Linked DNA regions of Caenorhabditis elegans. The protein of the gene in region 2 interacts with the protein of the main gene of each other region in a pairwise test. Each region holds a gene or a part of one and is shown on either strand. Other genes may lie near its edges.

The links. The genes of interacting proteins can lie anywhere in the genome.
Region 1: the proteins of gei-4 (region 2) and Y77E11A.7 interact in a two-hybrid assay, tested with the Caenorhabditis elegans proteins (one large-scale study listed by BioGRID).

Annotation. Positions count from the first base shown.
Region 1 is NC_003282.8:1,416,839-1,421,589, forward strand, and holds the start of Y77E11A.7 (Dynein heavy chain 1, axonemal), read right to left. Parts: upstream 3,008-4,751; coding exon 2,883-3,007; intron 2,735-2,882; coding exon 2,586-2,734; intron 1,842-2,585; coding exon 1,621-1,841; intron 1,247-1,620; coding exon 866-1,246; intron 1-865. Other genes in the region: jtr-1 (Protein JTB), read left to right, coding at 4,150-4,288, 4,334-4,477, 4,590-4,751.
Region 2 is NC_003281.10:343,772-350,322, forward strand, and holds gei-4 (BZIP domain-containing protein), read right to left. Parts: upstream 4,657-6,551; 5' UTR 4,630-4,656; coding exon 4,447-4,629; intron 4,394-4,446; coding exon 4,274-4,393; intron 4,139-4,273; coding exon 4,070-4,138; coding exon of another isoform or gene 3,917-4,069; intron 3,667-3,916; coding exon 3,268-3,666; intron 3,113-3,267; coding exon of another isoform or gene 3,098-3,112; coding exon 2,997-3,097; intron 2,738-2,996; coding exon 2,518-2,737; intron 2,339-2,517; coding exon 2,252-2,338; intron 2,088-2,251; coding exon 1,695-2,087; intron 1,312-1,694; coding exon of another isoform or gene 1,303-1,311; coding exon 1,168-1,302; 3' UTR 535-1,167; downstream 1-534.

The DNA.
Region 1 (4,751 bases), on a different chromosome or scaffold from region 2:
ATGTCATTTTTTTCGGTTAAAAATATGACTTTAGGTAATTTTTGTAATGAAATTTCCAATTTTTTCGGTTAAAAATCCTTTTTTTTGTCATTTTAGCCTGAAAAATGCTATTTTTTAAGTAAAAACCCCCGATTTTAGGTCAATTTTGGTGTGAAATTTTCAAATTTTTCGGTTATTTTTCGGAATCCCCGCATTTTTTTTCCACTACAACGTAAATTTTCAGAGCTGTAGCTCAAAATTGCGTGAAATCTGGTGTTTTGGGTTACTGTAGTCGGTGTTTGCGTACTTTCGGGGCTACCGTAACCCGGAAATTCTGAAACATGAGCTAGAAGCACAGAAAACCGATTTTAGAAGTGAAAATTTGCGGCAAAATCGAATTCGGTGATGAAAATCAAAGAATATCGACTCTAAAAGCATGAAAAATGTAATTTTTCGGGTAAAAATTCGATTTAGGTCATTTTTTGATGAAAAATTCAATTTTTCCGGTCAAAAACTATTTCTTCACATAAAAATCCCGATTATTGTTTATTTAGAAGTAAAAAAATGTCATTTTTGGGTGAAAAATTCAATTTTCGGTATATTTTTTTTCTTCATTCTTTTTGAAATTTTAGAATGAAAAAAAAAACCATTTTTGGGTGAAAAATCCTTTTTTGTAATTTCAGTATGAAAAATGTCATTTTTTTCGGTAAAAAATATGACTTTAGGTAATTTTTGTAATGAAATTTCCTTTTTTTTTTCGGTTAAAAATCCATTTTTTTGCCATTAGCCTGAAAAATGCTATTTTTTAGGTAAAAACCCCGATTTTAGGTCAATTTTTGTGTGAAATTTTCAAATTTTTCGGTTAAAAACTGCATTTCCACCGCACCTTTTTGCAAATTCTATTCTCCATATTCGAATAATACCAATTCAACACATAATGTGCAGTTTCGGCAGTTCTTCTCGACGTTTTCACATGATTTCCCTCTATTTCCACAAAAATTTTCTTCTTCGAGCTCGTCGATTTGCCACGATTCCACAAATAACTATCAATATAATAATCGGTATTTTTTAGTCCGTGACGGGGTTCAACAAGGAAATTCTGAGGCCCTTTACGTGTTTCATCGATTGTCAACGGGAATTCTTTCTGAACTTCATGTTCTTCGTAGCAACGGAAATAAAGGAAATGGGCAGCTTTGTTGGGAATTGAGAGATCCGAAGATTTGAGATTGAGAGTTTCTCCGGTGAATGAGGTGGCTGCGGCGACACGCTGCAAAACTTTTTTGAGACGGTTTTTGCTGGTTTTTTAGAGGATTTCTGTGCAAAAATTGGGGTTTTTTTTCTGTGATTTTAGACGCTTTCTGAAGGCTTTTCGCAGGTATTTGAAAGTGAGTTTTCGGAATTTTAGGGCATTATTTTGGCTCTTTTTAAGCAGCTTTTTACAGTGAATTTTCTGTGAAATTTCGGCTATTTCTGGTCGATTTTTGATCGTTTTCAGAGCATTTGAAACTTTACTTTGCCATTTTTAGTGGATTCTCGTTTTAGGTGTGGTTTTTGCTCATTTTCACAGGATTTTTCAAGTAAAAATCCTCATTTTTCAGGGTTTTTTTCGGTGAAAAAATGCCATTTTCCGCGATAAATCACCTGCATTGTGGTGACGAGGTGTTCGTCTTCATTTTGATACGGTACCTTTCTAGTCGGAGTCGGACGCCCTTGATATTTCATTGATGATATTGTAACCTCATTTGCAACCGAAAAATCACTGTTTAAGACCATTTGAGCGTCGATTTTCTCGCGTTTCAAAGCCATTTCCATTTCAATTTCCATTGTTTGAGTGTCCATGTGATCGTCGAGCACTGACGCGTCTGGAAATTGAGAATTTTTGAGATTTTAGGGGTTTTTCAATTAAAATTTGGCCTTTTTCGGGAAGTTTTAGCTTCAAAAATGACATTTTTTGGGAATTTTCTAAATGAAATTTTAATTTTTTGGGGAATTTTTAGGTTGAAAATTGGATTTTTTGGGTTTTTTCGAAGTGAAATTCGAATTTTTAGAGTTTTTAGCTTGAAAATTAAAATTTTCGGGATTTTTTGAGTGAAAATCTGATTTTTTAAGAGATTTTAGCTTGAAAATTAACATTTTCAGGTAAAAATCCGGGGTTTAAAGAATTTTTTGGCGAAAAATTGGTTTCTTAAATGAAAATCGAGTTTTAAGACAAATTTCATAGAAAACTGTAACATTTTCCGGTAGTAGCTTCTGATTTTCAGCCGAAAACTGAATTTTAAAGTAAAAACCTGAGTTCTAGGCAGTTTCTCCTTGAAAACGCGAGCATTTAGGTTAAATTTTAGAATTTTGAAGTGAAAAAATTACATTTTTTAGGTAAAAAATGAACGTTTTAATGGGAAATTGCAAATTTAGAGTCGACAATCGACTTTTCAGCACTTTTCCAATGAAAAAACACATTTTTTGATTAAAAACTGATTTTTTTAAAGCAAAATCGTAAATTTTGGTATTTTCCCCCTAAAAATCGCCAATTTTGCCTGATCATTGAGGATTTTCGCCAATTTTTCCGCGTAAAAATCGCATTTTCATGTAGAAAATCCAATTTTTACCGATTTCAGTGTTGGAAACATCGATTTCCTCCTCTAAAATCGGGCTTTGGTGGTGTTTCTGGTGAACTTGGAGCTCGTGCTCGCCTGGGGTCATATCTCGCTCCTGGTCGACTGAAAGTGGCTCTGGTGTCGTGGATTCTGGGACTTTTCTGAAAAAAAACGAGCAAATTTAGAGATTTTTAGGAGAATTGGAATAGAAACCCGAGATTTTTAAAGGTTTTTTCACTATTTATAGGTCTAAAGTGCTGAAAATTTTGATTTTTCTTTTATATTTTTGGATTTTTCTCGTCTACTCACGCCATTTGTGCAGAAATTGTAGATTTCGGTGTGAGTTGAGCTGTAGGAATAACTTTTTCGAAGACTTCATCTTGTTTGGCGGCGAGCAGCTTTGCGGACGGTGTACGAACTTTTCTCGTCTCCATTTCTGAAAAAAAATCGTTTGAAAATATGGTTTTTTCGCTGAAAAATAAAGAAAAAAGACTAAATTTGCCCAAAATTTGAGAAAAAATTTCGAAAAATAAATTACAGTACGCTTTAAAGGGACAGCAGTGAATTTCACCTTCGTGGCGAGACCCGTTGTGGCAAAAACAGCATGCGCCTTTAAAGTTTACGGTGCTTAATTGAAATTTTGAATTTGTTTTCGAAAACATTCAAATTTCGATCGAATTTTTCGGTTTTTTCGATTCAAAATCAATTTTCGCTTGATTTTCCTGAGAAAACTACGCATTTCCGACAAAATTCAAATAAAAAGAGCCGCGGGGGCCGTGAGAAAAAATGTGGCCGAAGAATACAAAAATTCGACGGGAATGGGACGACGGACGGGGCCGAATCAATTGTGTTTTCTCAGCCACAGATGTTCACGGTGAGTGAGGAGACGCAGTGAAGCGCGCGCGCACGCGACGCGCAACCGCGTCTCGAGTGTGCAAGGTGGGATTGGAGCGCGTTTGTGTGGATAGGGCTGTGTCGATTTACGGAGCGTCGTGGATTTTTTTTAAAGGGGATTTCCGGTTTTTGAGGAGGATTTTTGTGATTTTTTCCTAGTTATTGGTTAATTTCCAGCAAAAAATGAATTTTTTTACGTTAGATTGTAACGGAGAATTTTATAATTCTGCAAATTATAAATATTTATTATTGGTTTAAATTAATTTTTTATCCGAAAAAAAAAACCAAGAAAAAATGTTGAAAAATAAATTTTAATGAGTTTTTTGTATTTCGTTTCAAGACCTGCTGAAAAGTTAATCTTCATGTACCTTTAAACTTACAGTAAAATAGTTTTTACGGTTTTGAAGCCATTTATTAACAATTTTTCGTACGGAAATTCATTAAAAGTTTATATACTAATAATGAAACCCATTGTCATATTTTTTGGCAAACGTAACTCGCAAGTTTCAGTTAAGTTTCAAACTTTGTCAAAAATCAGCAAATAAATGTATTTCGTTGCGAGACCCAACACAGAATTTGCCTCTATGCACCTTTAAAAATTACAGTACGAAATTAATTAATTTCTTTCTCAATTTCAAGCCAAAATAACTCATTTTCCCTCATTTTTTTTTGCAGAAAAACGATGGAATACTGCAGTACAAAGCAAATTTCCACGTTTGTCCTCGCCCTAATCGGTTTTTCGATTCTCGTATTCTTCATCGAAGAGTACACGGAGGAAAGTGAGATGAACAGCGAAATGGAGATGAAAAAAGCGTTTTATAGTAAGATTTCCACCTAAAAACTTGGAAAAAAAGTTGAATTTTCAGAGACGGAACACGGCGGAACCACCGGAAAACTGGAAAAAGTGGTGACGGAATATCCAGCGGAAGAATGTTGGAAGCATGAGCCATTTGAAGTGGTCACCCAGTGTGCACCGTGCAAGGATTTCGAGATTAAGGCTATTAAAGCTGGTAGGGAGATAAAGAATTAGGAAAAATTCAGAAAAATCGCAATTTTTACCTTAAAAACCCGCAAAAAACGACTTTTTCACCAGAAAATCAAAAATTTATCCTATTTTTCCAGGTCATTGCCTAAAAACCGGCTATTTCGATCGTGTAAACTGCTCCAAATCGTCGACAACTGTGCTCCGCCCGTGTCCATCTCCAAAACAATCCCGCCGCCACGAGTTTTACCTGTTCTACGTGGTAAATGCCGCAATTCTCATCGTGAGCTTCTTGTCGACGA
Region 2 (6,551 bases):
ATCGGAAAATGCACGTTATCAATGGAGCGCGCTTGCCCACTGCCACTTTTTTATGGATTTTCCCCAGTTGTCATGAGAATTTTCATATTTTCGGGGTATTTGATAAACAAAATACGTATTTTCTGAAAATAAAAGCTAATTATAAACTCTCGAGAGACCCCGAGTGTAAGGTGCAATTATCGGGATGGAAAATTGAGGGATTTCCTCTCTTCCCAGTGCGAACAGCAAGAAAATTATTATTTTCCGCAAGAAATAGAATTTCGTATTAAATATTTACAACTGAATGCTCTTTTCATGGTTTATTGAGCTTTTTAATTGGATTTCTGGAGAAAATTGGTTGCCAAATATTTAGCAGACCCAACTTTGGTCTGCTAAATAATTTTTCTTGGGTCTGCTAAATATTTAGCAGACCCAATTTGGCTTGCCACGTGGCAAATATCGATTTTTTTCTATTACAATTTTTGTAAAAGAAAGTAGATAAACGCTGAAAAAAACACGCTAAAAAAAGGAATTTTCAAATCGGAAACTCAGGAATAAACTTCAATTTTTATTCTAATTAATCGTCAATATTCAAATTCGACGAAAATTTTCAGATTACCAAATATTTGGAAATTTGGAGAGGATTTTGTGTGGGAGAGGGATGGGGATAGAGTATAAGAATTTCGAGACGCAGGGTGAATATTTTCTTTAAAACAAGAAATGGGGGAAAAAAAGGATAATGTAAAAATAACATGGATTTTCAGGTAGTTCTAGATGGGGGTGGGTTTAAGGCAGATTTCACGGTAGCGCAGGGTTTGTTCGGATATTTGAGAGGAGGTTCTTGAGAATGAGAATATCTGGAAATTATTGGTAATGGGGGTTTCAGAAAAATGAAACAAAAAATTGGGTCACAGTGAAAATTAGAAATGGAAAGTTGAATAAAACGTTAAAAAATTAACAATTAAGAGGAAGAAAACTTATTTTTTGGGGCTTTTTTTGCAAACTTTTTTCAATTTTTAGTGGTTTTTTTTGTTGAATTTTTTGATTAAAAAAAGATAAAAAACTACGCGATTTTCAGTAAATAATACAGATGCAATTTTCAGAGGAAAGAAAAACAATGGACAAAGAAGAAGAAAAAAGAACAGAAAGAGAAGATTTGAAAAAAAAAGAACAGGAATTATTATATTATTAGGTTCTATAAGGATTGTTCAATATTTGTTGAGACTGTCCCTGCTGCTGCTGCTGGCCTTGTTGCTGTTGTCCCTGATTTTGGATAATCATGCCAGAAGTGTAGATGTTCTGAGGAATCGATTGGGACGACTGCTGAAAATCCTAAAGTTTGATTAGTTGGATGATTCTAGAATTGGGGAGATTTGAGTAAAAATCAATTTTTTTTTTGAAATTTGGGTCTGCTAAATATTTAGCATACCAACTTTGGGTCTGCTAAATATTTAGCAGACCAACTTTGGGTCTGCTAAATATTTAGCATACCCACTTTGGGTCTGCTAAATATTTAGCATACCCACTTTGGGTCTGCTAAATATTTAGCATACCCACTTTGGGTCTGCTAAATATTTAGCATACCAACTTCGGGCCTGCTAAATATTTAGCATACCAACTTTGGGTCTGCTAAATAGTTAGCATACCCAACCTCGAGTTTTATAGCAAAATTCCGCTCAAAAACTCATTTTTTCCTAGTTTTCATCGATATTCACCTGGTGTGACACCTGAATCTGCTGCTGTTGCATGTGTCCTTGATGGAGCACCTGGTGCTGTCCAATCCCATTGTTTCCCTGATTTCCAACCAACTGTTGGTGCTGTTGCTGACCATTCGAGATTATATAGGCCTGTGGCGGTGGTGTAACCGAGCGTGGCGTTCCCGACGACTGATTCGCGCGTTGTCGGAGAAGGATCTGCTGAGCGTGCTGTGTGCGCTTGACGACGTCACGTTCCAACGAGGAGAGAGCGTCCATATCGTCCTTTTTGGCGGGGGTGCCGGTGCCCATTGTGATGGTTCCAGAGGATCCGACGGCCATCTGTCCGGCGCTGATCATGTCGTCCATCTCGTTGCGACGACGCTTTGGAGTGTAGCGTTTTTGATTGTACGACTGAAAAATTAAAAATTAAAATGTTTTTTTTTTTTTTGAAATTTTGTTTTTCGAAAACACACATGCGCAAAGCCTACACACAACAAGCATTCTCATTCTCAATTTCAGTATCCAAAATTCAAAAAAAAGAAGAAGAAAAATAAAAGAAAAAAGGTTTCACTAACGTCTCCGAGATCGAGATCATGGTCGATTTGCGTGTCAGATTGCTCATGAGAGGGCCAAGACTCTTCTTTCGGTTCTTGTTTCGCGACCTACAACAAAATTTAGGAGTCTGAGATCTCGGAGAGTTGGGGAAGAAACCCGGGGTTTTTTTTTGGATTCGCTAGCGCAAATTTTCAAATTTTTCGTGCTCAAAAATAACTAAAAGTCATCGCAAGACCCTCTCTGTCTCTCGTTGGTGATTGATTAGTTGTAGCAAAAATATATTCACCTTTCTCTGATCAGGCGTCATTCGCTGGTAGCGAAGACGTGCCGCTTCGGCTCGTTTCGCGTTTCGGACCACAATCTGCTGAGCACGATCCAGTGCTTCTCCGTTGATACGGCCTATAGGCATGGCGAGCAGCATCTCTTCTTCCATACGACGGCGGCGGAACGCTTCTGTCCTTCGTTGATTGTAGACGCGCTTCTCGTCATCGTTCATTCGATGGTATCTGGAAATTTGGAGGTTTTTTGATCGAAAATGTGTGGAAACTCAGGTGAATTTCGCAATTGTTGGGTCTGCTAAATATTTAGCAGACCAAAGATGGGTATGCTAAATATTTAGCAGACCCAAATAAATATTTAGCAGACCAAAGTTGGGTATGCTAAATATTTAGCAGACCCATTCTGAATATTTAGCAGACCCAAGTTTGGTATGGTAAATATTTAGCAGACCCAAGCTATTCTGATTCCCCCGAATCTCTTCCTTACCGTTGACGAGCCGCCTCCGCTTTTTTCGCATTCTGCGTCTTGATGTGCAACCGGACAGCCTCGTCGTCCTTCTGTGGATCTCCTGTAGCCATTCCACATGCCTGAAACTCCGATTTCTGGAATGTTACGTCACGGTAGCAGCGGAAAAATTACAAATTTTGTGTGTTAGGGAGGAGAGATTTTACCAAAAATAGATTTTCACCCAATTAAATTTTCCTCTTCTCCGCTAATTTTCCAGATTTTCTGCTAGAATTCAATGTTCTATATTCACCTTAATCGCGCTCATCGCGTTCTGCATCTGCCGCATACGTCTCCGCGTATTGTGCGCCCGGCGCTCTTCCGGCGTCATTCTAGCGTAACGTGTACGGGCGGCCTCTGCCCACTTGGCCCGCATTCTCTTCTCTCTGAGCTGTTCGGTGATGTCCGGATCCTCTTGAATGTCATTTGTCTCCCGCAAAATCGATTCGAGCTCCTCCATCTCCTTCTCACGTTGCCGTTTTCGCTTCTGCGCCAACGTTCTTTTCAGGTTTAACTCTCGTTTCTCTTCGTTTGATAGTCGGTGATAACGCATTCGGGCGGCTTCTGCCTGTCGCGCCTTCTTTACTCGATCCTTCTCGCCTTTGTCGGGTGACGAGGAGAGTTTAACATTCATTCCTTCTACTTGTAGGTCCTGAAATGTTTCTGAGGTGTGCTCGGTGAGTTCGCTGCGTGATTTCATTCAATTCGTGTTTTCAGTGTGTTGAAACTTAAAATTCGCATTAAAACTCGAGAAATGGACAAATTCTGCTCGATTTCGCATCTTGGGTCTGCTAAATATTTAGCATACCCAACTTGGGCCTGCTAAATATTTAGCATACCCACCTTTGGTCTGCTAATTATTTAGCAGACCATAGTTGCAAAACTAAGCAAGTTCCAGTAACTTATCGACTTTTTGAGCAAATTTTTTGAAAAATCCGCTCAAATGCGAAAATCCACGCGGATTTCGAGCTGCAAAATTCAAAATTCCTTGAAAAAATCACTGAATAACACGAAATTCTCCCCAAAAAAAAACAAAGAAAAAACAACGAATTTACCACATCTCCTACTTTCAACTGAGGTATTTGTTGATTGTATGATCCAACTGATTGTTGTATTGAAGACATCTATAAAATAAATCACGATTCACAAACACAACCACAATTACGATAGAATTTACGGTAAAAAATGAGGAAAATCGAGATTTTTCGAGATTTCCGCCATTTTTTTAAGCCAAATCGCACGATTTTTACGATTTTTACCTGAACTGGCTGCTGATTATTCCACGACGTTGATGTTGAAGGTGTCGTACTGTCGATAAAATAAGCGTCAAGCATATTAACTAAACTCTTCTCTTCTCCCATCCGCCGCTGAGGTGTTTGCTGAAATTAAATAAAATTGAACATTTTCACTCGATTTCCTGAAAATCCCCTACCGTCACTGAATTAGGTATAAAAGTTGCGGAATTAGAGGAATGAAAATTGTTCGCATTTGAATTTGAATACGTCGTCGGCTGATAGGAGTTCTGTTGAAATTGCGATATTCCGTGTAGCTGCTGATTTTGATTACCGCCCGAGCGGGGATCCGAACTGTATGTGTATTGTATATTCTGCTGCATTTTTTATTATTTTTTGTGTTTCCGAGCCTGAAAAAATTGGAATTTTAGGTTTTTAAGCTAGTTTCCGATGAGAATTGCGATTTAATAAGGATATAATTGTGCTGGAAACAATTTTAATCACTTGAAAAATTAATTTTTTGAAGAAAAACCAAGGAAAACCAGGAAAACCAAAGAAAAATAAGAAATTAAATGGAGAAAGTGAGAAAAATAGAGAAGCAGATAAGTTTCGAATTCAAATTTGCCGGAGTGTCACTGGAGCGCACTTGCCTCCTTCTCAATTTTTCGAATTTCATAAGACTAGAATAATGAAAACACTGCTTAAAATGACTGGAACAAAAGAAGAATACATGAATTTTGATTGAAAAATTGAAAAATAAAATTGAAAACAACGTATCTCACTGCAAAAGCTTAAAAAATTCTTATTATAGTCCCAGCATGTACTAATTTCGACGGAATTGCGCCAAATTTTCACTGATCCACGTGGAATTTTCTGAATTTTACTGAAAATGCAAAAATCTTAGTTTCTTTTCGTGTTGGAGCTGTGTGCACAGGTGCCCAGGTGCACTGCTTGAACATGGTGGCCGTGAAAGAGAAAACTCGGTCAGTCCCTCTAAATCCTGCGGAAAAGGTCCTGCTGATCCACTTTTAAGCTAGTTTCAGCAAATCCAGAGGTATTTTGGGTTCCAGAGGCAGAGTTAGCATTCTAGAAGAGCAATGAATTTTGGTGGCCGACCTTTTATATCCGCGGTCCCCACGAAAAAGTCTCAGAGTGTCTCATTTCGGTTTGATCTGCGTAGATCTACAAAAAATGCCGGAGTTGAGGCGCAGAGTTCTCAACTGATTTTGCATGGTTAAGAACTTGCTGACGTCACATTTTTATGGGCCAAAAATTTCCGCATTTTTTTGTAGATCAAACCATAGTAGGACAGCCTGACACCACGAGGGCCCCGTATCCAAGTACCTGAGCCTAAAGCCTAATGTAATGGTTCTAATACCGTCTTCCAATTCCTATCGCTGTGGGTTCTCTGAAAATCCCTCCGAATTTTCCCATTTCACGGCCAAGGCATCAAATCCAACCTGTACCTCTCCGTTTCAAGTCGATTTTTAGAATTCAAATTTGTCCTCTTCGCGCCTAAACCGCCCATGCTCTTCCCATCATCACTGTTAACCACACTATTTTGTTGCCTGCCTGCCTTCTGTCTCTGCGCTCCCAAAATCAGCGGAAAAGAGTGTGTGATGGCGGATGGATGCGGTTGGGGATGGTAAGAAGAAGAAGAAGTGTAGGGAGATGAAGGGAACAAGACGGGGGGCAAAAAGTAGTAGTAGTAGAAGAGGAAGAAGACTAAGAGAAAACGAAACATATACACAAAAGAAGAGGACGATTTGGGGCGCATAGGACGAGAGGGAGGAGAGATTGGAGACGGGCGGGGCATTGTGTACGAGGGGAGGCCGACCGCGACGCGGAGACGCGTTGCACACTCGCATACACAATGCGCGCTGCGGAGAGTCCAAACATCACTAGACACTGTGCCGAGTGGCGGAGATCACGAGACACCCGGCACGAGAGAGCGCGCCCGTCGTGGAGTGTGTGTGCTTAGAGGCCGTGACGACAGCGTATCGATTGTGGAGAGTGCGTGGAGGAGTGCCGAATGAATGGGTAACGTGATGCGGAGAGAAAGATGGGGAGAGATGGATCGGAGGGTGCGGCAGACTCGAAAACAAGAGAGGCGAATGACGGCCGACAATAACTCTCAGGCACTCTCAGTGAGGAAAGAAGAAGGAGAAGAAGCACAGGAGATAGTATAAGGAGAGGAAGAGGAGCAGAACTTGGCTTCTACCGTATTCAGAGGCTATGATATCAGGCCTCTTGGGTCTGTTAAAATAGAGAACCCAGGCCTTAGAAAAGCTTGAAAGTTGTTGGG